Medicago truncatula: one gene and its partner. The protein of the gene in region 1 binds, or shares a complex with, the protein of each later gene. Links are inferred from orthologs where the notes say so. Each region holds a gene or a part of one and is shown on either strand. Other genes may lie near its edges.

The links.
Region 2: light-mediated development protein DET1 (region 1) and constitutive photomorphogenesis protein 10 share a complex: the UniProt entries of both Arabidopsis thaliana proteins name them as parts of the CDD complex. The link is inferred for Medicago truncatula from reciprocal best matches to the Arabidopsis thaliana genes DET1 and FUS9.

The regions. Positions count from the first base shown.
Region 1 is NC_053046.1:1,905,546-1,918,329, forward strand, and holds the start of light-mediated development protein DET1, read left to right. Parts: upstream 1-6,496; 5' UTR 6,497-6,727; intron 6,728-6,885; 5' UTR 6,886-6,924; coding exon 6,925-7,005; intron 7,006-8,043; coding exon 8,044-8,471; intron 8,472-8,569; coding exon 8,570-8,798; intron 8,799-8,940; coding exon 8,941-9,114; intron 9,115-10,221; coding exon 10,222-10,290; intron 10,291-10,430; coding exon 10,431-10,487; intron 10,488-11,086; coding exon 11,087-11,173; intron 11,174-11,273; coding exon 11,274-11,438; intron 11,439-11,571; coding exon 11,572-11,667; intron 11,668-11,928; exon of another isoform or gene 11,929-12,024; intron 12,025-12,321; coding exon 12,322-12,421; intron 12,422-12,784. Other genes in the region: abhydrolase domain-containing protein C22H12.03, read left to right, coding at 2,422-2,490. UniProt on the Arabidopsis thaliana protein: Component of light signal transduction machinery. Involved in repression of photomorphogenesis in darkness by participating in the CDD complex, a complex probably required to regulate the activity of ubiquitin conjugating enzymes (E2s).
Region 2 is NC_053049.1:39,597,047-39,609,607, reverse strand, and holds constitutive photomorphogenesis protein 10, read left to right. Parts: upstream 1-6,773; 5' UTR 6,774-6,963; coding exon 6,964-7,150; intron 7,151-7,228; coding exon 7,229-7,302; intron 7,303-9,718; coding exon 9,719-9,866; intron 9,867-10,455; coding exon 10,456-10,553; 3' UTR 10,554-10,806; downstream 10,807-12,561. Other genes in the region: glucan endo-1,3-beta-glucosidase 4, read left to right, coding at 1,529-1,556, 1,661-1,805; uncharacterized protein, read left to right, coding at 4,116-4,394, 4,814-4,897; probable acyl-activating enzyme 18, peroxisomal, read left to right, coding at 11,512-11,777. UniProt on the Arabidopsis thaliana protein: Component of light signal transduction machinery. Involved in repression of photomorphogenesis in darkness by participating in the CDD complex, a complex probably required to regulate the activity of ubiquitin conjugating enzymes (E2s).

The DNA of each region.
Region 1 (12,784 bases):
ATCGGTTGTGAAGTCAATGTAAAATTCACATTTGGTCGCACCGGTTGCATGGCAGCAAATGATCCGAGATGACATGTCATTGTTGGCCCACCAGGCTTATAAAACACTAACCGGCTTTTTCATCAAGGAGTTGGTTGTATATTGGCATAATTAGTTTATTAGTTCCTTTCATGATTGGTTAATCCTAGGCCAGATCTATTTGGTTTAATGTTGAAAAGCTCCGGACAAACATTGACTCTCAAGAAACTGTATGATGGTCTATTGGGAAAAACTCAAGTCCCACATTGGATCGATAGACTCTGGTACCATGTTGAAATTGGGCCTAACTCATCCTTACAAAACCGGCTTGTAAGGTGAGGAGGGCCTCCTCTTTATAAATTCTCATCAAGAGTCCTATCTATCCATTTTTTTTTTTGAATAGAAAATTGCAAAATATATTAATCACTAACCAAAAGAGAAAAGAGAATGTTTGAAAAGAAAACTGCTAATCTACATCTCCTGGTAGAGCTAATACATCGGAAGTCACCAACCTAAAATCCTAAAACCAAACATAACATAAAAAATATCAAAGAAGATATTAACAAAACTAGCGATATCTTCTTAATCGCTAATCCCTAACAACAGTTTAAAATTAAAAAAGGAAAACATGCAAGTTGAGTATAGTAGAGATGAGATCAACGAGCCGTCATCTTGTTGAACTCCTCAAAGTTAACGTTTCCACCACCGTCTACATCATCATTGCTTATCATTCTCTGGCAGTCACTAAGGGAGCACTTCTCTCGAAGTTTATTAAGAAAAATGTGCAGTTCTTTTGGAGAGATGAGACCGTCCTTGTCGAGGTCGTAAAGGTCAAAAGCATCACGAAGCTCGTCGTCTTTTCCGACAGCAGCAACAACAACATCATCCCATTGAAATTCAGTGAATTCTTTGAGATCAATGTAACTGTCGCCGTTCTGATCAATTTGTTCCATCATGCGTTTTACTTCATTAGATGTCGTTTTGGATCCAAGCGTTGAAAGCATTTCTTCCAGCTCTGAGACAGAGATCTTTCCGTCGTCGTTCTTGTCGAACTTGTTGAAGATGTTACGCACCTAGTCGTTCTTGGCGTAATTGCCGTTTTGGTTTCAAGAATATGAAAGCATTTCTTCCCCTCCTTCGCTTTCTAGTAAACACTACTACGTCGTGGAAGATAAGGTGTGTAACATCTTCAACATGTTGGACAAGAACGACGACAGAAAGATCTCTGTCTCAGAGCTGGAAGAAATGCTTTCAATGCATGGATCCAAAATGACATCTGGTGAAGTAAAACGCATGATGGAACAAATTGATCAGAACGGCGACGGTTACATTGATCTCAAAGAATTCACCGATTTCCACTACACTTATGCTGTTGCTGCCGGAAAAGACGATGAGCTACACGATGCTTTCGACCTTTACAACCTCGACAAGGACGGTCTCATCTCTCCAAATGAACTACACATCATTCTTAATAAACTTGGTGAGAAGTGCTCCCACAATGATTGTCAGAGAATGGTAAGCAACGTAAATGCTGACTGTGACAGAAACGTTAACTTTGAGGAATTCAAGAAGTCGATGGCTTGTTGATCTCATTCTTACTATACTCGACTCGTACGTTTTGGTTTTTTAATTTCAAATTGTTGGTAGGGTTTAGTGATTAATAAGATATAGCTAGTTTTGTTAATATTTTCTATGTTATGTTTGGTTTTAGGATTTTAGGTTAGTGACACTACCAGAAGTAGCAACACTACCAGAAGTAGATTAGTAGTTTTCTCTTCAAACATTCTTTGTTCTCTTCTGGTTCTTAGTTATTAATATATTTTGCAATTTTGTCTTAGAAAAAAAAAAGGATAGATAGGACTCTGGATAAGAGGAGGCACTCCTTACCTTATAGGCCGGTGGTTTTGTAAGGATGAGCTAGACCCTATTTCAACATGATATCAGAGCCTATCGATCAGGTCATGCACCAATGCTAGGTGTGAGGGGGTGTATTGGGAAAAACTCAAGTCTCATATTGGATAGATACGACTCTTGATAAGAGTTTATAAAGAGGACACACACCTTACAAGCTGGTTTTGTACGGATGGGTTAGGTCCAATTTCAACATGGTCCCTAAGTAATGAAGCATAAAGACTTAAAAGCTTTAGCTATGTCTTTTGTGCACACACACATATTGGTGCAAATTCTCTCTCCTGATTTGACTGAGGAGGGTATGCATGTATGAGGGAAACTTGCATGCTGATGAATGTTGATTTTATTGTAGTGATTCAGTTAGTAGTTAGATTCTTTCTGTGGAATTTGTTTCATGTGGATACATATTTAAGATGAAATGAGGATGAATCGTGTTTTCCAGAGCTTTCTTGTGACATTATTTAAAATAGGATTTACTTTTGTCTATAACAGGTACATGCTGATAACCCAGACGGACTCTTCAGGATACTGTCATCCTCTTTCCAAGGAAGCAGGACGTGACTTTACTAATTATGTAATTTCTATTTTGTTCTGGGTACAATTGCCATCACAGCTTGATATATAATCATAAATGTTAATTATTTTTTCCTTCCATTTTCTCGTTTTTTCTCCTGTTATGTTATAGCTTCTGTATATACTATTATTTTTTTGCTCTCTTCTTGTGCATCATATTTTGAGAGTACTCTATCAATTTAATCTCTCAAACACAAGTCAAGTAGTTGGTGCATCATGTCCTTGGTTTTTTTGAGCAGCGCATTCTTTCCAAGTACACACAAGCCCAGCCTTTAGGAATTGTTCAGTATGCATTCATAGTGTTGATTATTTGAACATAATGAATCTAACCTTTCGGAATTGTTTAGTATGCAGACATAAGTATTTTAAGTTTTAACATCATTAACCTAACCCAACATTTAGGAGTTGTTCTGTGTGCAGGCATCATGAACGAGTTGTATGTCGATCTTTCTAATAAGATTGAAATGGGTGAAATCTGTCCCTGCTTTTTAATTTCCTGAATGTATTGTCTTCTTTCTGCATATTGATATCTGTAAGAGTCTTCCATGCAATAATTTTTTGAAGAGAAATGTTGGCAATTTGTTCCCTTTTTGGGGCAAGTCTGTATTGTGGAATGGCGAGGATGGTATAACAAACCCCAGAAATTTAATTTTTTCCCCATTTGAAGTTGAATTTGAATGTTTCAAGAGTATCATATTCAATTCGTTCTAATTCTCCAATTTTGTTTCCCTTTATCTAATTTCTTGTACGGTTATATTCAATTCATTCAACATATGTTAAAGCAATTCCTTAATTGTACATGAAAAACGAAGACCAAATATATCTTGAGTTTTTAAAACACCCAGAATTTTGTACCAAAACTAAAATACTTAAGCAATCAAAGTTTATAAGAAAGAGAATATAAGAAGAGTAATAGTCTCGTGAGTAAATACGAGAAAGCTTAATTTGAGGGAAAGATGCTTCAAGTCAAAATCGAGACGATCTTATTCAAAAAGGACGCACAAATAAATTTACACCTATTTTTCTCTAATGACATTTTCAGAGTTTTAAGATCTGTATTTAGCACCGAACTAATTCGTCGTTTGTAGTGTCTGTATATATATTGGGATGTATCAAATGAGAGGAGTGGTTGGTTATTGTGAGAGTGAGAGGAGTAAATATAGACCTTTAGATCTAAATGAATAGTGCAGATTAAAAGATCCACTTAAAAGTTTCACGTGCCTTTTTTTTATGTTTCAACGCGTCTCCTTCTTCCTTTGCTTTCTCTCTCTCAAACGCTATTGTTCATTCTCGCTGATTCTCCCCTGTATTTCCTCACAACAAACTGGGATAATTGGATAATAAAAAGAACATTTGTCAATTAAGGACCACTTATTGTTTTCAATTCCAGATTAGATTTAAATTAACTTAGTAATAAGAAAGCCTGATTTTTTAATTAGTCGAACCTACATATCTTATTATAGTTATTTTTATGCTAAGATGTGATCATAGTTAAAGACCTTTTTGAAGCCAATTTTAATTTTCTGGTTTTGCTAGGTTAACGTATTCAGCTTAATTCTTTTTTGTAAGACAAAGAAAACGAAAGAAAAAAATAAGATACATAGATGGGTTTGTTTATTTTTCTCTTTCTTAAACGGGTTTGTTTGATCTTAAAACAATTTTCATCTCCAAAATTTCCATTAATTATATCAACTTTCTTGTTCCATCGTCAATTGCTTTCAGGAAAACTGCTATGGAGGAATATGAAGCGTGTATTTCCTTCTTTCTTCCATGGGATTGGATGTACGTGCGTGGGAGAAGTAATTAACAGGTCACTTGATATTTTAAGTGGATCTTTTAATCTACACCATTCATTTAGATCTAAAGGTCTATATTTACTCCTTTCACCCTCTCACAATAATCACTTCTCTCATTTTAATACACCCATATATATATATATATATATATGAGTCAGGATTCGTTGACACCAAATCTCAACCGTCTATTTTATTTGATCAAAGGCTCGCATTTTTTAATATGGTGTGTATCCTTTCCCCCAATTACATAATATTATTTTATTAAATCGTTGAAAAATTGTACTTGAAAACACCGGTGATACTCTTCTCTTTAGACAAATTGTTACCATATACCACACCCATTAGTATGATTTCTTGTCTGCGTCTCTATTCTCTCTTATTTAATTCAATGTATGGATTGCAACCGGAGAGGAAGGTAATGAAAACGATAGCAATTAGAGAAGGGAGTCATCCTAAGGAAATTGCAAATTGCGAATCTTCATAAAATAGAAATCTCAACATATATGGATTATAAACCCTAATTTTAATTTGGGGCTTTTTTGGTTTAATTTTCAATCTGTATATGAACGTGGTATTAGAATTGCTGTCGTGAATCCAGAAACCAGCCTTTGGCATATAATTGGAAGCTTATGATATTTCCATTCAACTAAGAAGCATAACCATGATAAAATAATAATTAAATATGCAAGAGACTTGATTGCTGCAATCCGTGCGTACAGGAAAAATAGGTGCGATAATCGTGTACACAAGAGAAAGGATGAGCTAGTTTAGAAATTATTATGAGCCTTTGATTAAATAAAATAGACGGTTGAGATTTGGTGTCAATGGAGTTAACGGATCCTGACTCTTTCTCTATATATATATATATAGGGGATGTTTCAAATGAGAGTCTTATAATGAGAGGATGAAAGTATTAAATATTAGCTATTGGATTAAAATAAAGGGCTGAGATTAAATCACTTAGTATAGAACTTCACGTGATATCTCATAAATATGCACACACTTCAAATTCACTCGTCTTTCTCATAAGCACTATTCATCTTCCCATTTGTTTCACTTTCCACCTTCTGGGTTTTTTTGTTGTTGAAGAATTCCACCTTCCCATATTAAATCACCATTAAAATCAAACACCAAGGCATTTTTTTTATCAAATCTAATTTTTGTTTACTGGAAAAAAAAACTCTAATTTTTTATGAACAAAGAATTACACCATCAGAATCAAACCCACTAAAGAGAAATTGCGGTAATTGATTTTTTTACACCATTCATCTCTTAACCATAAATAAATTAAGTGTGAATCATAAAGTTGTTGCTGGGAATACTGCATCTGAAATGAAGATAGAAATGTGAAGGTTCGAAAGAATAGATTTTTTTAAATTTCGATGCACCATCTTCTATTGAATTTCTCAAAAATTTCCCCAAAGCTTAATTTTATGGATGTAGAACCTCCACTTTGAGTTATGACGTGATGAGGAAGGAGAACTAGGAGCACCGGAAATAAGAGAAGTGGAGAAAGATTCAGAAATATGAGACCATGGGTTCCCAAATGTCATATCAACCATTAAGATTGATCTAATGGTTATAATTTAGTCCTCTCACCTCTTACAATAAAAACCCTCTCATTTAATATGTCCTCATATATATATATTCATAATTAACAAACTTCACATTTGTTAAGAAATTAAGACAAAATGAATTAAACTTTACGACTTATTAAGAGTAAAGTAAGCACATTCAACAAAATCATTGGCTTAATTGAACATCATAATTTTAATCACTGTAATTGAAATCAAAGTTTATGCCTCAAAATCATTTTATAAATAACCATCAACGAATATGAGTTCATGTTTTTTTTTGGTTAAATAGTTTAATGGCTAAAGTTCATACATATTTTTTGTTTTTTTTTTACCAGCCAAGCACACATATATATTTTAAATGTGGAAAAGTTTAGTGTCAGAAGTTGAACCCGACTCCAACACCTATCCTATATATTATGTAATATCTCTACCAATTAAGCTAAATTTACATAAACTAACTTTATGATATTTATTACCATGCCATGCCATTTGATTTGTTTTTTTTGAAAGAATGCCATGCCATTTCATTTGTCTTCTAACATTAATAAAAGGATATGGATCAAACTATTAATTGAGATATGATTTGGTGGTCTCATCTTATCCAGATATAAAGGCATAAAAAAGGTAAAAAGAAACAATAATAGTAGTTGGGGGGTGTTTGATAGCAACTACAGTAGTAAGTTGGTGGGTGGAAATATGAAGTACTTGTTTTGTTTTGTTTGTGGTGAGTGAAACTTGAAAAGAAGTGGTGACGTGTCATATCCAAACTCCATTCTTTCTATTAATTTCTTCAAATCTCAATTCTTTCCGGTCACCGCACTTCTCTTCCCGTCAACACCGTCGCCACCGCCGGTAATCTCTCTGCAACCAATTTCTCATTTTTTTTTACCTTAATTTCTCAAAAATTTTACGTTAATTTCTCAAATTATTATCAGTGTCCAGTGTGTTGTGCTTTGTAGCTTCTGAGTTCCAGAAAAATAAAATATAATTTCGTTTTTCTTCATTTTCAGGGTAAAGGTTTATTTGAATTTGAGACAAGGTTTAATGTAATGTACTACAGAAGCAGAAGCAGCAATATTGCGGCTAGGATTTTCGATCGTCAAATTTGCACTCCTGCTCCTGGCACCAGTGTAATCACTTCTTAACTAGTATATGATTCTATTTAATTATTTATTTTTTCAATAGCTAAGGTGTGGAATAATTAATGAAAACAAATGATTAAGAATGTTTACAATGTTTATGAGAGTTTGTAAGCACTTCAGATCAACAATTAGACCCTGTTTTGACAAATAGCTTCAGATCAACTGTTTGGGCTACAGTGGCAAGGAGCTCCTTCCAAGGATGTACCCGGGGAATACCGGGTTCGATTCCCAGGGGGAACAACGCTTGGCCAGTGCGCATGCGCACGAGCCGAATTAGTCACCCACCTTTTGTGGGTTAGAAACCGGTGCAAAAGCCAAAAAAAAAAAAAAGATAGAATAAAGTATTTTTTTTTTAATAGAAACTGTAAGTTATTCTTATAAGTTATACTGGAGAATTTATGGAAATAAGCTGAAAACAACTTATGCACATGTCATAAGCTGTTTTGTAAGCTCTTCAAAACAGTCTCACATATGTTTATGCTAGTAAATAAGCTCAAATAAGTCACCTTAAATAGGCCCTTAGATTTTTTAGTTTTTTGTTTGGTGGTCAGGGGTTGTGATTGTAGAGTGTGAGTATCCAATAGAGAACATAGAGGTAGAAAAATAAGGGTAAGTGGAGTTATGTTATTTGCTTTACTGTATTTTTTAGATATGCAGACAGGTTTACACCTTCTGATCAATATTATAAGCAAACACCCACTTTTTAGGTTCATTGAATAACTTGTGTATCTGGTCAATATTACAGAGCACATACATCAGTTATTCAATGAACATAAAAAGTGATTTTTTTTTTGTTTATAATAGTAACCGGAGGGTGTATTAAATAGTGTCGGGCATAAATTGATGACTGTAATGTTGAAATTACAAAAGTATACTATATATGGTGTGCTAGTTTGGGAAATTTGCTTGTAAACAGTCGAATGAAAAAACTAACATATGATAAATTTATAAAATTGTTGTATTGTTCCTTTGTTGAAGGAACCTGAATTGAATATAATTTTTGCAGGTGTAATTTAATGCTTGCAGGTTCATCATGCTCGGCGATTCTATGAAAATTTGGTACCAAGTTACACAATATACGAGGTTGAGTGCCCAGACCATTCATTTCGTAAATTCACAGAGGATGGTCAATACCTTATAAGTTTCAGCAGAAATCATCAAGAGTTGATTGTTTATAGGCCTAGATGGCTTTCATTTTCATGCAATGATGAAGATTGTGATCAACATGATTTGCCGTCAAAAGCAAGAAGATTCGACAGTTTTTTCACCCAATTATATTGCGTACCACTTGCTTCTTGCAATGAACTCATATGTAAAGATTTCTTTCTTTACATGGAGAGTAATCAATTTGGACTATTTGCCACTTCTACGGCCCAAATTCATGATGCACCTGCTGTTGGCGGAGCTGTCCAGGGTGTTCCTTCAATAGAAAAGATAACTTTTCACCTTTTGAGGTGCTTTCTCATCTTCCTTTATATTTTGTATTTTTCTTTGAGATCTTCAAAATCGAAGGACAGATCATATTCTGATTATTCTCACTTATTATATTTAGAATGGAAGATGGAGAGATCCTGGATAAGAAAGTCTTCAGTAATGACTTTGTTAATTTGACCCATAATATGGGTGTCTTCTTGTATGATGATCTATTGGCAATTGTATCACTTCGGTATCAAACTATACACATTCTTCAAATTAGGGATTCTGGTAATCTTGTTGATGTTCGTGCTATTGGGGAATTCTGCCGTGAAGACGACGAACTTTTTCTCAATTCAAATGCTCAGGTTGGCAAGCTTTTGGCTTTAGCTTTATTCTACAAGCATCTTGTTCAGTATTCCATTAGATGAGTTGTTGGGCCTTTTCGACAAAAAAATCTACAATGTCATTAAAGGACTAAACTCATGAAAGACAATCATTTGCTGACAGGGCATGTCATTGTCTGACAAAAATAAACAGCACCAGGTACCAGAGAACAATGTAGAAAATCACATGCATCAAGGTCAACCTAATATGGGGAATTCTTTTTTAAGTGGTATAAAGCAGCGATTGCTTTCATTCATATTCCAGGGAATATGGAATGAAGAAACAGATGATACCTTGGTTAGTTTTATAAATCCACTTCTTATTGCACAATCTTCTTTTTCCATGTTTTATTTGGCTCTGTTTCTATGCTTAACATGTTTCAGGAAGTTTATCTTGGAAGGATATAGGCACATAGCGTATTCCCAAATACTATTAGTTTCTTTTTCTTTTCTTTTATCTCTGACACGGTGAAAGCTTCAGTTTCTTTCCTATTGTTCTTCACAGCAAATTGTTTTGAGATCTTCTCCTGTCTTATACTGTCACTGCTTATGGATAGGACATTGTTTGGTGTTGTACATTCATATTTCTTTCTCCACAAGCATAAATGTGTTTGAATGCGTGGACTTGTTGTCCAGCTTTGCAACTGTTGCACACACACATTTTTGCAATACTATAAAAGAAGGAATTATTAAAAAGAGTTCTCACTAGAGATGCTTCCAATTTAGGAATAATAATCAACGATTAAGCAGTTAATCATGTTCAAAGGGTGGTTGTTGAATTGAATGATCATTGCTTAACTGAATAAACCATGTGCATGCTTAGTTATTCTTAAACTAGAAATATTGTTAACAAGATTTCCTTTTCTATAATTTCCCTTATTTTTCTCCCCACATAGTCTATCATTATTGGGACATTGTTCTTTTTATCATATTATCAGGACATTCCTAAACATGAATAAGTGTATGGAAAAATAGACATTATAAAATCTGAAATGGCAGACCCTTAGAAGCATCTCGTTTTATACAGAATACAATATTGGTTTTTGGTATGAAGTGTATTAGCCAATATAGAGGCAAATGATCTGATCTAGACCTAATACTGTCATATAGACTTTATGCATCGATCGATCATTACACTTAACCCTGCCTAGTGAAAAATAGTTTGGTGGTTGTAACTGAGTGTTATTATTACACGTTGGTACGTTGTCAATTGTTTACCCTTGCCATTTCTCCTAATTACTGCTTTGCATTTTTTGCAGTCTTTAGTTTGTGTTTCTGAATTGTAGTTGTGTTTGATTTTTGGATGCCTGTAGTATTATATAGCTGTCTAACTTTTTACTTATAAGTTGTATCTTTTCAGTGTGTAAATTCATCGTTTTAATACTGTTTTTTCCCGATTTACCAGAGGATCCAAAGACTTCGGAACAAGTTTTACTTCCACTTTCAAGATTACGTTGATCTGATTATTTGGAAGGTAGGTCATCAAGACATTTTATGCATCTTAACTGGTTCGTTATAACCGCTTTATCATCAAACAAGACCATCTCACTATTGATTTGATATATATATACAATGAGAAATTTAACCAGCATCATCTATTCAATTCCTGGGCAGGTGCAATTCTTGGACCGACACCACTTGCTAATTAAGTTTGGCAGCGTAGATGGAGGGGTAAGTTCTCTTTGTACGTGTTTTTATTTGTTTATTTGTTCTAATGATAACATTTACAGACCCTAAGCACATTAAATGAAAATTACGTACAAGAACCTGAGAGAGGGTCCAAGGCCAAATATTAAATAGGAACATTATAATATTTGATTCTTTGCTTATAACTGAAGTTTCTAGTGGTTTCCTTGTAGTAGACCTCTAGCCTCTCTGTAGGAGGTTCTTTTCTAAATAGCTATCCCTATCCTAACTTACCCAAAACAATTAATGCCAAGTTTTAACTCTTCTTAAATCTTGAGCTGTTATCTTCTTACAAGTCCTCTCAGAACACAGTTTCATGAACTGGTTATTGAGATTCAATTATCCGAATGTGGCAACAACGGTTGAACTTTTGATGACTAGGTCAAGATATCTCATACCATGTTAGGGACAGCTCTTAAAGGCTTACAACTGTTAAGTGGAGGTTCTAGAATGATTTTTTTTCCTAATGATTTGATTTAGCTAGTAACAAGTGGACAGAGCTCAACCTCTTAACTTGCATGGAATCAATATGTGCTCTATTGAGGTAGTAGTATGACAGACGTATTGACATTCATGTTTTGAAGCCTCAGGTATCAAGAAATGCTGATCACCATCCAGCTTTTGTTGCTGTATATAACATGGCTACAACTGAAATTGTATCTTTTTATCAGGTAAATTTGTTTTTCATCCTATGTTTTCATTTTCATGGGTTTTCTGTATTGCAGTGTCTTTATGTTTTTTCCCCTCCTGATCCGTCTTTACATTCTGCAGAATTCAGCAGACGAGCTTTATATGTTGTTTGAGCAGTTTGGTGACCACTTTCATGTAACATCAAGGAATTCAATGTATATGAATTTCGTATCATCTCATTCAAATAATATTCATGCACTAGAACAGCTACGGAGCATAAAGGATAAGGCAAGCAATTCTTCACAGGTGAAGTATTGTTGGTAGTTGTAACATTGTAATTGCATCCTCCCTCCTTCCTTTCCATGATATAAGAAAAATTAAAAGGCTATGTACATTGTATGCTAATGTGTTGTGTACAATTTTGTTTGTTGTTTTGCAGTTTGTGAAGAAGATGCTCGCCTCTTTGCCTTTTAGCTGTCAGTCACAGAGTCCTTCTCCTTACTTTGACCAGTCTCTTTTCCGGTTTGATGATAAGGTTTGCTCCACGTGCTAGTTTAGTTGTCTAGTTTCTTTGCAAAGATCAGAGTTTTTTTTTTCTTTCTAAAACATAAAAATCATTTGGCGCAAAGTTAGGCATAAACTGCTTAAAATGGAGTCATAGCTATTAGATTAGATCAGTCTTATTAAATTGTTGGTGGGACTGGGGATGAGGAAGCCAATTGGACATCCTTTAGAGACAGGCCATTGTGCTTATTGCTTGAGTTATCATGACAGACTTTGGTGTTGTGGTTTTTAGATGGCTGGAAAGAAAATCAAACTGAGTTTCTTTTGGCGGAGGTGGTGGCAACCTTTGTATCAATGATACTGAAAACTGGAATATTGGATTGATATGGTAATGGAAGCCAAGGTTCGGGAGGTTGGTTACTGGTAGAAATTTCAGTTTTAATGGGAAAAAAGGGGTGTCTGGAAGCGTAGATGTCGAGTTTTAATTACAGTTGAAAAATGGCTTTCTCTAGTTTGCTTAACTTCAAGTTACTCAGTGCAGAAAAGGGATAAGGTTTTAATTGATTTTCTTCATTCAATTCCAAAGATTAATAGCCGGAAGAGTAGTCCCCTTTGTAATCTTTATAAACCATAGATTTTTTTGCTTACTGTGGTTATAATTTTTAAATGCTTCGCATCTTTGCAGCTTATTTCTGCAGCTGATCGGCATAGGCAATCAACTGACCATCCAATCAAGTTCATTTTAAGGAATCCTCCACACACACTCAAGTTTAAGATCAAACCAGGTGCACATTTTTCCCCTGTTGTTCAAGCTAATTATGTTCTAAACATGACAATGACAAGATAATGTAGTCCACTTTAGATTAAGTACTCCATTCAGGATTTGTTTGGCTCCATGAGATAAAGATATCAAAAATAAAATAATCAGAAAAAATATACAATTTATTTATTTTTTTCGAATTTGAGAATATGATTGCAGTGCATAAAAAGACTTGGATTTATTAAACATGCATAGATCTAACTCTCGGGCAGGATCATACTTTTCTAACGTGGAGGAAGCACAATAGTGTGAAGTACATCAGCTTAATGAGAAAAATTAAATTTATATATATATTTGCAATTACACAATTTGGATAACGAACAATAGA
Region 2 (12,561 bases), on another chromosome or scaffold:
TTGGGCTTGAAGTGTAGGCAATGCTCAAGCCCACCCAATCTTGTACTAAAATTTAACATTTTTACTGATAATGGGGGCAATGATAATTGAACTCTAGAATATATGATTATAGCGACACTGATGCCATCTCATGGACCACTTCGTTGAATTATAATGACCCTATTTCAAGTATAGGTGCTGTTTTGTTTACTAGTATTAGCTTTACTCGTTTAGGATATTCAAATACATGGAAGGTACTTCCCTCATTTTTCCATTCATTATATTATATAATAAACATTTATAGCTGAATCTAGTTTCATGGATTGATAATTTTGAACCGGAGTTATAATATCAGTGTGTCACTCTTCAATGATCTATTAACTTGTCTGGAAGAAATTGCCCAGATCCTAGCTGGTTGCGTCAGTATTAGTATTAATGTTGTTTGGATGCGTCTCATGCTTTCTTGCTGATTCTATAGGTCTATCTCCCCGTAAATCTGTATTAGAGTATGTTTGGATGGAGGATTTTGAAAGGAAGGGGACGGCAGGACTTATTTTCTTTTCTAAGTCAAGGAAGCTGTAAAATGCTTCTAAAAATAAATTAAGCTGTAAAATGCTTCTAAAATAAACGCTTCTTTTCTTTTCTCACTGTACGGCTCAGTATTCAGTCCAGTTTCACGAGGCATTTTTTTAGATTTGGGAATGTTGTAGTATTTTTGCGATCCTGATGCGCATGGCCTAGGCATGAAACTTATTGAAACTTCACATAACTATGCTATTAGAAATTTCTTCTTATGGCATCCTGGAACTGATTGCATTATTCTGAAACTATTGGTGGGGGGTGAATTCTGTCTTATTAAAATTTCATGACTTTATTAAGTTAAAACTGTGTCTATTTCTCTTTTCAAAGACATTGAATAATTTGCAAATATTTTTGAAGAGAGACATGAAATTTATCATGACAAGATAACTGGGTTCTACAGTTGACGACTTTGATAAATGGTCTATGGTGGATTAGCTCATAAAATACCATTGAAGGCTAATGTTTCCCTTTGTAAGTAGAAGCTCACGGTCATTCTTATTCTAATGACTAATGAGTGAGATTGTGACCTGATGAGTGCTGGTTCGACAAACACAAGGGTAAACAAATGAGTTGAATTTTGATACACTCACGTTTATTTTCCCTTATTTTTTTTCAAACTAGTACTTATCAGGTCACCATCTTACTCATTATGATGTGGAAGACCTTGTGCTTTTACATGAGTCGTCTTTGGAGTTTCAAGTGATTTTCAAGTATTTACCCACTGTGGACCACCTTTGTTGACATGACAAGATATACTCTAAAAATTTGTCATAAAAAGATTCACTCCAATGGTAGCCGACTTTTTCAACAATGTATCTTATAAATTTGTGCGAACAAGTAAATGATATTTTAAGTCTCTATGTTCCATTCAAAGTTTATAATCACTTTTTTTTTAGGACAAGTTTATAATTACTTAAATGTTTCCTTGCGAGCATTTAACCATTTAATACTGCGTAATTTGTTTCAGGTTATGGATCCTGTAGATTCCCGGGAAGGTATACATCTTATCTCAATCTATACACATCCATGATTAATTAAATTTAGAACTAATTGTTTCTCTTTAAAATTCTTATCTGATCATGGGTTATTTTGATATCAGCTCTGGCGCTGGAGGAGTGAGTTTACCTCCCACGGCACTTGGACCTTCTTCAAGTCCCTTTGGAGCAAGTATGAACCTGCAAGTGTCTACCCTTCAGTATATGATTTCTGCTATTGGTGTATTTTTTGCTCTGATGATTCTTTGACCAAAAGGTTTATGCACTTCAGATTGCAATTCAATTATAATGTAGTTTTCATCGATTTTGATTCTTACTTTCTTTTGTCCATTTTATTCTTCATAGCTATGTCACATCTTGTGCATTTGAGGTCTTGTAATTTATCTCTTTTATGATAGATAGTTGCTTAATTTAGTGGTTTAGCTCTAGGAGAAAAACTGAACTGAATCTAGAAGAAATTATTGCCACTGTTATCTCTTTTACTTCATTTTGAGTTGTCTGGGGAAAAAAATCTCTATCCATCGGGTTCTAAAGGCTATATGTGGATTGATTGAAAGATGAAATTGAACAGGTGAAACTATACCAACTTTTTCATTTATGTTGTTTAAAATAAAATAGAACAAAATGAATCATAAAAATGTATTTTCATCACCTTCCAATTAATATTTTTTTATTTCTCTCTTTGTACTATAAAAATATCTAAATTATAGAATGACAATTTTCATTTCATTTTACTTCATTGTGACGTTACATAAGGTTGGTTGATTTGATGTATATTAATTAAAGAAGAGTGCGCAAGACCAACCAACTTTTAATGGCTTACCATTAGAAAGTGCAGTGAATGGTTTGCAACTTGTGAAAGCGATGATGAACCAACATTTTTTTTAGAGTAGTTTCATTTTCTTGCCTGTTTTGGGTGAATGAATGGTTCGCCTCTTCTAAGATCTGTTTAATTTTTTTATTTATTTGAATAACTAGGGTTTGTTTAATTGTCAATTATAAATATCAACCACCATGATATATGATAAATAAGTTTAAATGAGTTAAGATGTTCAACTCTTTGGAAGAGTTTTCTAGGAAGGATGCCCATATAGCTGTTCATACTTTTATAGCAAGGGTTACTGCATTTTTTTTGCATGTTACTACTATAATGTGTGAATAAAAAGGATAGAACTTCTTGACCAAAAAAAAAAGAGGATAGAACTTTATCTAAAATAACGAACTTCAATTTAGAGGATAAAGTAAATATTATCAATTTTTCTAATAAAAAGAAAAGTCAAGAAACAATTTTTAACTTTTTAAGAAATGAAATGTACAATTTTCAATATAAAGTTAAAGTTTCTAGTTTCTACCTTTATTGTGCCTTAGAGGTGTTTGCGAGTGTTGAGTTTTATAAAAAAAGGGTAAGATTAAGTCTATACTTTGATATTTTAAAAAAATTAAAAGAACTACATAAATATGTATTTTTTGGTTAAAAGAACTACATAAATATATAATATCACCTTGTTTTGGTTGGATAGGTGGATGAGTGATGTCCCACTTTGTGAGACATTTCATAGCTTATACGATTTATCTGAAAATAAATTATCTACTGTGGCATAAATGTTTCATTGGGGGTGGGATGTGGGTGGGGGAAGCTTGGAAGTGGCGGAGGAAGTTTTGGGTGTAGGAGGAGGAGCTGTTAGAAGAGTGTAGACTTTTATTGTTAACAGCTATGCTGCAGGTTGATTCTGCTGATGCTTGGAGGTGGACCCCTGACATAGCCAATGGTTACACGGCTAGTGGTGCTTACCGCTTGCTCACAGATACGACGCATATCAATTACCAGATACTGCTGAGGCTTTTATGGAGGAAGGATGTGCCTTTGAAGGTTTCAGTGTTCACTTGGCGTTTGTTTCGCAATCGATTGCCTTCAAAATCGAATCTATTCCGTAGAGGCTCGATATTGTGTTAGTGGTTGCGGTCTTCATGAATTCGAATGCCATTTAATCGCATCTTGTGCTTTTTTCGGATATCTTTGGCAGCTTGTTAGGAACTGCTTTGTGTTCACTCAGCGGATCCATCCCATATTTTGGATCACTTCATTCTTCGACTTCTCTACAGGGTACGGTAAATCTAGACGCTCTTTCATGCATTTGATTTGGTTTGCTACAACTTGGGTAATTTGGAAGGAATGCTAGAATTTTCCGAGGCACTCAGGGTTCTCATATGCAACTTGTGGAGAGTGTCAAACAACTTTCCTTTATTTCATTGTTGTTGAAAGTTGGTTTGTATCTTGTGAGTGTCTTTTGTGATACACCTTGTGCTTGTACCTGAAAGATGACTCTCTGTTCAATATATCATTTTGATTTCTTTTGTTCATTTAATTTCTTTTTAAAATAATTTTAGATTGATATACAAGTTAATTATTTTATTACAAACCAAAAAAAAGTTAATTATTTTATTTAAAATAAAATTAAAGTAATCTTTGTACCAAAAAAAAACAATCTTGAAAGTTTTATAGTTGTTGACAACAGCTAAATAGGAAGGGTGAAATAGTTAGCGATTGTGATCAGGAAGATGGAGGGAGGAGGATCGTCAAATGGAAGGAAAGGGTATGCGTGGGCAGTATCTGCTGGATTGAACGCCGCTCTTGCAGCCATCTTCGCTAAGTTCACCTTTCACATCTTGATTAAGTACGGGTTCGTGGTATTCTTCAATGTAACCATGTGGTGTTGTTATGTCAACAGTCTCAAAGCTCTCTCTTCTCTTCAAGCTACTGTCACCAATTTCGCTACCAATTTTATCTCTTCTGGTTTAGCCGGTTTCTTCTTCTTTCATGAACATCTCTCTTTCCAGGTAGTTACTATTTTTTTTATTTTTTTTTTCCTTTCAATTTCAATCTTTACATATTAATTACCCTATTTGTAACTAAAAATTGAAATGGTACCAATTTCATGATTATGACCCTTAATTCTGTTTTTATATCACACTCAGTTTATTTATCCATTACGTTACATGTAACGTGTGTTCCAACTGCTTAATGTGGGATCGAGATAAACCAAGTATCATGATTTGCTATTACGGGTACATATGAGAGAGAGGATCCAATTTATAGTTTTGCTGTACTAAAAATCAGAAAAACTATTGGTTGGTTCTAAGGGAAAAATAAAATTAGGGCTCAAACAAAGTCTAAAGAATCTGTGGTTGGTTATTTGCCTTTTATGTTTTCAGTTTATTCATTCACACATTTTTTGATGCAAAAAAATGTTTCACAGTGGTTTGCAGGTGCCTCACTCATAATAGTTGGTGTAATAATACTTAGCAACTCAAGTATTGAGAAGAAGGTTAGCGCTGATTAGAAGTTGCACTTGAGTATGTTACCTTTCATGCTTGCTTGTTACCGGCCAAAGCTAGCATCCGCAACTGCGTGAACATGAACTTGTAACATCAGGAATGATATAGTTTGATCTTCTGCTGAGCAGTTCACCACTTCACCTCACATGAAACCTGCTGAACTAGTCGCTTCTTGCCTTTTGCCAAATTAACAACTCTCTTATTGTTTTATCCATTCATTTATGTGGTTCTGTGGTTTAATGTAGTTGGTTTGAGATGAATGCCAATATTTATTTACGTGGTTCTCTTATTTATTGTCTCTTTACTGTTATGATTTTATGACATTGGTCTGTTCATGTGTTCTCTTTGGTTATTTTCTCTGATTTGAATTGGACAGCTTTGGCGCATTTTTTTAGTACAACTACAAACAGCTTTGGTACATTTAGAGTAGCTTTGTTATGGGAAATTTTTCATCAAAAGTGTTTCTATTTGGCTGGAATTTGACTTATGGATTTGGAATGTAAAATACCAAGAATCAAAATGGATGCAGTAGATGTTAATCTGGTGGTTAAATCCGTTGTATTGCGGAGACTGCGTATGCCGGAGGAATTGGAGGATCCTGAAGGGGTTCTTCCCCTTGATCCTTTGTTATGGCAACAAGTTCCTTCAATCTTTGGCACTTAGTGCTGCGGAATTGGTTGTGACATAAAGGTGACGAGGTCATGGGATTTCCTTATTTCTTCTTCATTGTGGGAGCAAAGTACAAGAATGCAGAAGTAGTGGTGAGGGAACTGGGGAGGCCCATGTGGAGAGTTGAGTCTTGGTACTTATGGTTGCAACCCTGATGATCTAGGGAGGCAGAAGCGGAAAGACTTGAGTTTTATCAAAGGGTTTGTAAGATTTATTAGATAACCTTAGTTCCAAACTGTTTGATATGTAAGGAGGAAATTTCTATTGCAAAAATCTGAGATTATAAGTTGTCAAATCTGTTGGTTATATAAAATTTGGGGAGGTAAAGCCATCACAATGGAAACGCCAATATTCAAGGTCTTTTAACGAAAAAGTTCATGGGATTAATAATTTACACTGCTAGTGCATAAGTATGTGAGATTAATTTTTATGTACTAAAAGTGTGCTCCCTCCGTCCCAAATTATAAGAAAAAAAATCACAAAAAACTAAAACATAAGAATTTAGAGTATAGTTTTGTGTTTTCTTTGAAAAAAGTTTTACAGGAAGATGTAAAAACAATTTTCATTGACTATTGGTTATGGAAAAAATAAAAGAGAGAGAAAATTTAATGTAATTTTATGAGAATAAACAAAAGTTTTTCTTGGAAAAGAGATTTTTTAGAAAAACAAGATTAAATAGGATAAAAGTTTGTCTTTTTTACTTATATTTTGGGACAAAGAAAATGAGTTTTTTTTCCTTATATTTATAAATTAGTTTTTAAAGTATTCTAGAATAAAAACTACGAATTATAGCTTCAAGTACAATCAATTCTGGTGGTAGAATCAATTCTACTCGACAACAATCAAACATGTCAGAATTAAATCTACACATTCAGAATCAATTTTAATCCCTATGGAAGTAGAACAAAACATATTATTTTGAAATGTATTATTAACCTTATATCCTTCACCCTAAAACAATAAAAAAATTACGAGTCATTTAATAAAAAAACATGCCTCAAACTATAAGTTATTTTATAATATCAATAAAACATTAATGATTTTTTTTCTCTCTCTATAATACTTACTATTTACTATTGAAGACTCTGTCTTCTTTCAATTTTTAAATTTCTCTTTTAAATACTATTAATAAATAATAATTTTGTAATATTACTCGTAATTTCTCTTTCTTAAAAAAAATTAAATACATTTAAAATTGTCAAAACCGTTATGAATTTATCCCAAATATTACTACTTCCGGTGTATTCTTGTTGAAAGTGTTGATGGTGAAAAATGTCTTAGTAACAACAACTTGAATGAGTTTGATATTGATTCTTAATGAGAGAAAAACATTGATTACTGAAGAAGAATAGATGAGCTAAACGAAAATTGAATTGGGAAATAGGGTTTAGGAGGTGAAGTGATGATACCAGGTGGAGGAGGAAGAAGTTCAACATCATCATGGGCACCGACAACCTCAGTGTCTGCTTCTGGAAAGAGAATTCAAAGAGAAATGGTTGAACTCAACAACGACCCTCCTCCTCATTGTTCTGCTGGTCCCAAGGGTGATAATCTCTATCACTGGATCGCCACCATTATTGGCACCCCAGGTTCACCATCTTCACCATTCAGCTTAGGTTGTTTGGGTTCAGATTGAATTTATCATCAATTTGATTTTTTGTTTGTAGGAACACCTTACCAAGGTGGCATATTCTTCCTTGACATAATATTTCCTACTGACTATCCCTTCAAGCCTCCCCAGGTACTAATTGGTTCTTTTTCTAGAATTGCTGTTTGCTTTGGCATGTGGTGGAAGAATGTTAGCATGAAATGAAACTTTATTTTTATATAGATTTAATCTTTATACGTTGTCGGTATAAAATTATTTTACTTGTGCATCTAATAATGTGATTGAAAATATGAGTTGTCGTATTCATTAATTAACGCAACAACACATTATTGGATGCATGTGTAAAGTAACTTTACACTGTCAGTGTATAAAAATTAAAATCTTTTTATATAATGAATGCGTTAAGTTCCTTGAAGTTAATGCTTGTTACTGATTGACATAAAAGTTGTAATTCTATATACATTTAGTTTGGTAAGGCGATGGGCTTGTCTTAGGCTTATATTGTGCACCACATTGAGTAAAGCTAGAGAATGAATTGATACTTAAGCCATAGGATTCTCCCACCCAATAGGCTTGTCCTTTGGGATGGACTCTTCTCTAGAGCTCAAGTCATACAAACACTTGATAGTTTTATTGAGAGCTTGCCGTGTAGGATAGGTAAGCAAAATAGGAACTAACAGGAAAATGGCTACCTATACCAAAAGAGTCAAGAATGAATGTAATCATGGGTGGTTAGCCAGAATGCTCTCTCAACTCATGGTTAGTCTTTTGGGATGGTTTTACTCGTGGGCTCAAGTCATAATTCTTAAAGGCAAGACCAGAGTAACATCCTTCTCGGGGAAGCCAGATTAATGAAGTGAACTATTCTACAGGTATGTATCACCCCTTCTATGGATGGGGATACCAAGCATAATTCTTGGAAAATGCATAAAATTGTTTTTGTAATCCTTCTCTTTTTCATAAAGGGATCCGTGTTGTTAATCCTAGTGGTGGGGAGCAGTCGACCCCTAAACCGCTAAAGTGGGATAGTAGATAGAGGGAAAGCCTCTATTGTGAAGACTAGAAAGTAGTTTAGGAAGGCTTCACTTTGGGAAGTTTATGGTTGACATGATACCAGGGTTGAGTAGAAACACAGTAGAATTAAATGAGGAGCAGAGAACAGAGGAGAACACGGTAGTCGTCACCACTACCATAAAACCTAGTAGCCATTTCTGGAAGAAAACAAAGAAGGTAAGGGAGCAAGTGTGTCTTCGGATCTTCACAAAACGGAGGTAGGAGAAAGTGAGTTTCACTTTCGCATGGTGCAGAACGGCCGAAGCTGCTGACCAAGAATACTCAGGGAAAATGACCAAAAAGCCGAATAAATCTAGTGATCAGGGGGTGAAAGGGGCATTTAGCATCAAAGGTGGCTGTTGTGGCAGTCAAACACAATTTTCAGTCGAAATAGCTACCCTTGTATAATGCCAATGTGACATACCAGCTGTAAGTGTCGCAGCTGCGCTGCTACAATTCCATTATCACGTGTGATCACCTGCTATTGACAACATAGATAGGGATAGTGTCGTAGCTGATATTACAAGATATTTAGTCACTGGGTGGTCTGTTATTGTGTTTAACAAGTTTGAACTATTGAATCTTACATCCTCTTATTTGAGTCCATTCTCCCACTTTCGAAGCAATAAACAATATATCATTTTGTATGCATTTAACTAATATTGAGTGAAAAAAAAGGTTATTCACTGGCTTGAATGCACATATTTTTTTGCTTCTGATTTGATATAGGGAAAGTTCACTGGCTAACTGTTTTGTTCAAGTTCATGTCATTTGAAGGAGCTAACTGGGTCATTGGGAACTTTAAGTTGTATTTCAAGTAGAATTTAATAAATTGGTTACTTGTATTTGATAGAGCTGGAAATGAGAGTTTAGGTGTTGATGACGTGTCTAGTCATCCACACCGTGTACCCAAAATATGGAGAGTGTATGTTAGGAAAAATAGAAAGAAAGAAGAGAATGATGAGCTGGCAGAAAAGGGGTGTGATGCGTGACTCACTTCTGTTGTATTGGGATTGGGGTAGTGGAGGAAGGGGTCAGAAAAAGAATTCTGTTAGGAGCAGAGATTTGTGATATTCTCTGAGTCGGTGAGCATAGCTCTCAGTTGTATCAGGAAGTTTGCTTCCTTTGCTATTTTTCCTTTCTATGATTAATGAAACCCTCTCCATTTTATCTTTTCAATACTATTTGATGCTGTTACTGTGATTGATAGTGTTAGTACCTATCAGTATTTGTATAAAATGCTTGTTTTTTTTTTCCTTCTGAGAAAATTGCTGTTACCTTCCCATTATGTAAATGTTCAAGTACAGTCCCTTTATTTTCAAAGCCTATAAACTTCCTGTAACATGTCTTCTCTCAACTTTTCATAAACTTCTCTGTTCGAAGAGTTTGGTATAGGTTTAAAAAATAAAAAGGCAATATGCAGACAACAAATAATTTATGTGGAGGTAAAAGTAATTTAATTGTTGTGTATTGCCTTGTTAAATTGAACTAGCAGGTAGTCTTCAGAACTCGCATTTACCACTGCAATGTAGAACCTGATGGCCGTGTTAGTATGGGAATATTGAAGGATGGTTGGAGTCCGGCACTAACAATTACTAAGGTGCTACTTGCTGTTAGATCACTTTTGACAAATCCTGACCCTTGTAAGTTTGTCTATTCTCTTCTTGAATGCTACTACCTTTGTCCTTATATCTAATATCCTTTTAGTTAATGCATGAAAATTAAGAAAAATATTTCTATATTAAATTTGTCAACAATGTACAATCTCTTTTCCGAATTATCAATCAATATTAAGAGAGATAAATGATTAGTCTTTTAGTTTCCCCATTTAATTAAGGGTATGTATTTTTGTGAAAGATCACTAATGTATCTTGTAATTTGAAAATGATCCTATAAAAGGGAAAAGAAAAATTTACAAAGGAGTCTTACATATAGGGATGAAGGTTTACATGGTACTTGTATACTTAGAGCCTTTTGCTTCTGAATGCAAGAAAAGAGGAAACTATTGTATTATTACCTCCATGTCTTGAAAAAGCAGCATGATTTAATAGGACACTCCGCTAATGATTATGTCTTTTAACACCGGATTCAACTAATTTTCAGTATTAGTAATACCAATATTTACATTTTGTTTGTATAGAAAGTAATAACAACACTTAAAATCAGCCGATACTCCAAGTAGCTTCTTAAAAAAAATGATCTTAGAATGTAAAGTTGTTATTGTTGTTGCAGACAATGCTGTTGTTCCTGTCATTGCTCACTTATATTTGGGAGACAGAGCAAAACATGATGATATTGCTGCAGAATGGACTATCCGATTCGCCAAGTGAATAATATGATATAAGAGTCGTTTGTTTGCCTAGCAATTTCACATTCTTTCCAATATGTACTTTATTGTCAGATGAATTTCACTCTGTTGAAAAGGGTTTGTTGTATAGTTGGTCTTCTGCATCGTGTATATCATGTTCCAATATTTATGTGAATGAAAATGATGGTTCATGTTCATGCACTTGTAACAAGCTTATCTCCTGCCTACAAGCTGTGTTATAATTCAAAGGCTTAAGTGTACTTTTGACCCTTTAACTTTCTCAATGTTGCAATTTTGGCCCCCTAATAAAAAAAATGACAAATTTAGTGTCCTATGTTTTAGCCCTGGACCGTCAATATATTCCTAGGGGCTCGAATGCCCTCTAGAAAGGCTTTGGTACCCTACAATTGGCTCCTAGAAGCTAGTTGAGGCGGCGCCTCTGGGAGGGAATCGAATTCGTAATGATCCAAGGAAAGGAAATCGAAACCTGTTTCGGTAATCGATTTCCCTTCACCAATTCCAAAAAAGAAAAGTTCTCATATGAGTGCACCATTAAAATAAATTATGATATGTGTTTAAACTTATAAAATATTATTGGATCCACCATAAACTATATTATATGTCCTTAAGCTATTTACACAAAAATCTACCGTTTAAATTAATACAAATTTTCCTATTTTTGAACACAATTTTAATATAAAATAAAACTAAAATAATCATATCACTACATTTCAAAATATTAACAATCATTGAACTGAATATGATTATAATTATCACAATTTTGATTTTCACATTTGTAAAATTAAATTTTGAGTTGACCAACTTGAAGGACAGAGCAACCAACCACGTAGTAGCTAGCCACCATGCTTTGTTATCTATCACATCACCCATTCACCAACCACCTCATCATCTACACCTGCAACTACCACCGTATTCATGTTTGCTTAGAATTTTGAAGTTGAAAAAATTGAAAGAAAGAAATGGGAAAAAAGAGTGTAATGGAGTTGGGTATTGATGATTTTGTAAAGGTTGGTTTATCAGCTGCCGAAGCCAATGAATTGAAGGAAGTGTTGCTGTCACTGCCATTGTCCTCACTCTCCTCAGCTGACACATGGCGCCACCTCGTCAGCCGCAAAGTCCTCAAACCATCATACCCTCATCCCTTGCATCAGCTTCTCTACTATACCATCTATAATGATCATCATCACTCCTCTTCTTCTCCTCCTCTTTATTGGTTTCCTTCTCTGTAAGTCACTCTAATTGTTATTATTCATATGTGCTTTTTCCTTCTTCTAGTATTATGAAGTATTCATACTGATAATATTAGTCACACCCTATGAAGCACGGATACGGACATGGACATCAACACGACACAGATGCCCAACACAGCTAATAATTTGAAAAAATCACATAATTTTGTATAAATGTATGTGTCAGTGTCGTGTCGGTGTCCATGTCTAAAAGAGGGCTTAGACATGTCCGCATCAAAAGTTGTTGAGTCCGGTTGAGTTTCAGATGAAAGGGATGTTGACATAGGTGTTGAAACTGGCTTAGCATCTGCCATATTGGTACTTTTAAGTAAGAAGCAGCTGCCAAATAAAGTGACGTTGTGTTAGAAAAAGTCATTGGGATGTCGGCAAAACCTCTACTCCGATGAAGTGATTTGGAAAATTAAGGTCCTTGAGAGAAAAAGATTTAGCAAGAGAGGTCTTGAACTTGCTGAGAAATGTGGCACTATACCCTATTAGCAAAATATCATCAAGATAAACAAAAAAAATGAGCAACAGTGTTACAGTTCTTTTCGAGTAGAAATATGCTATCATTATTGTAAGTCAATAAGGAATTGTTCTCATCAAATTTATGAATCCAAATTGAAGAGGGAAATCTCTAAGAGCATGAAACTAGGCGCAAGGAGCTTGCTTGGGGCCATAAAGGGCCTTTTGTAGTTTGCAAACATAACGAGGTAAGGTTGCATGGATGAAGCCAGCTCAAGGATATACTCGATGTGAATGAGAATTTAAAATAGGTGG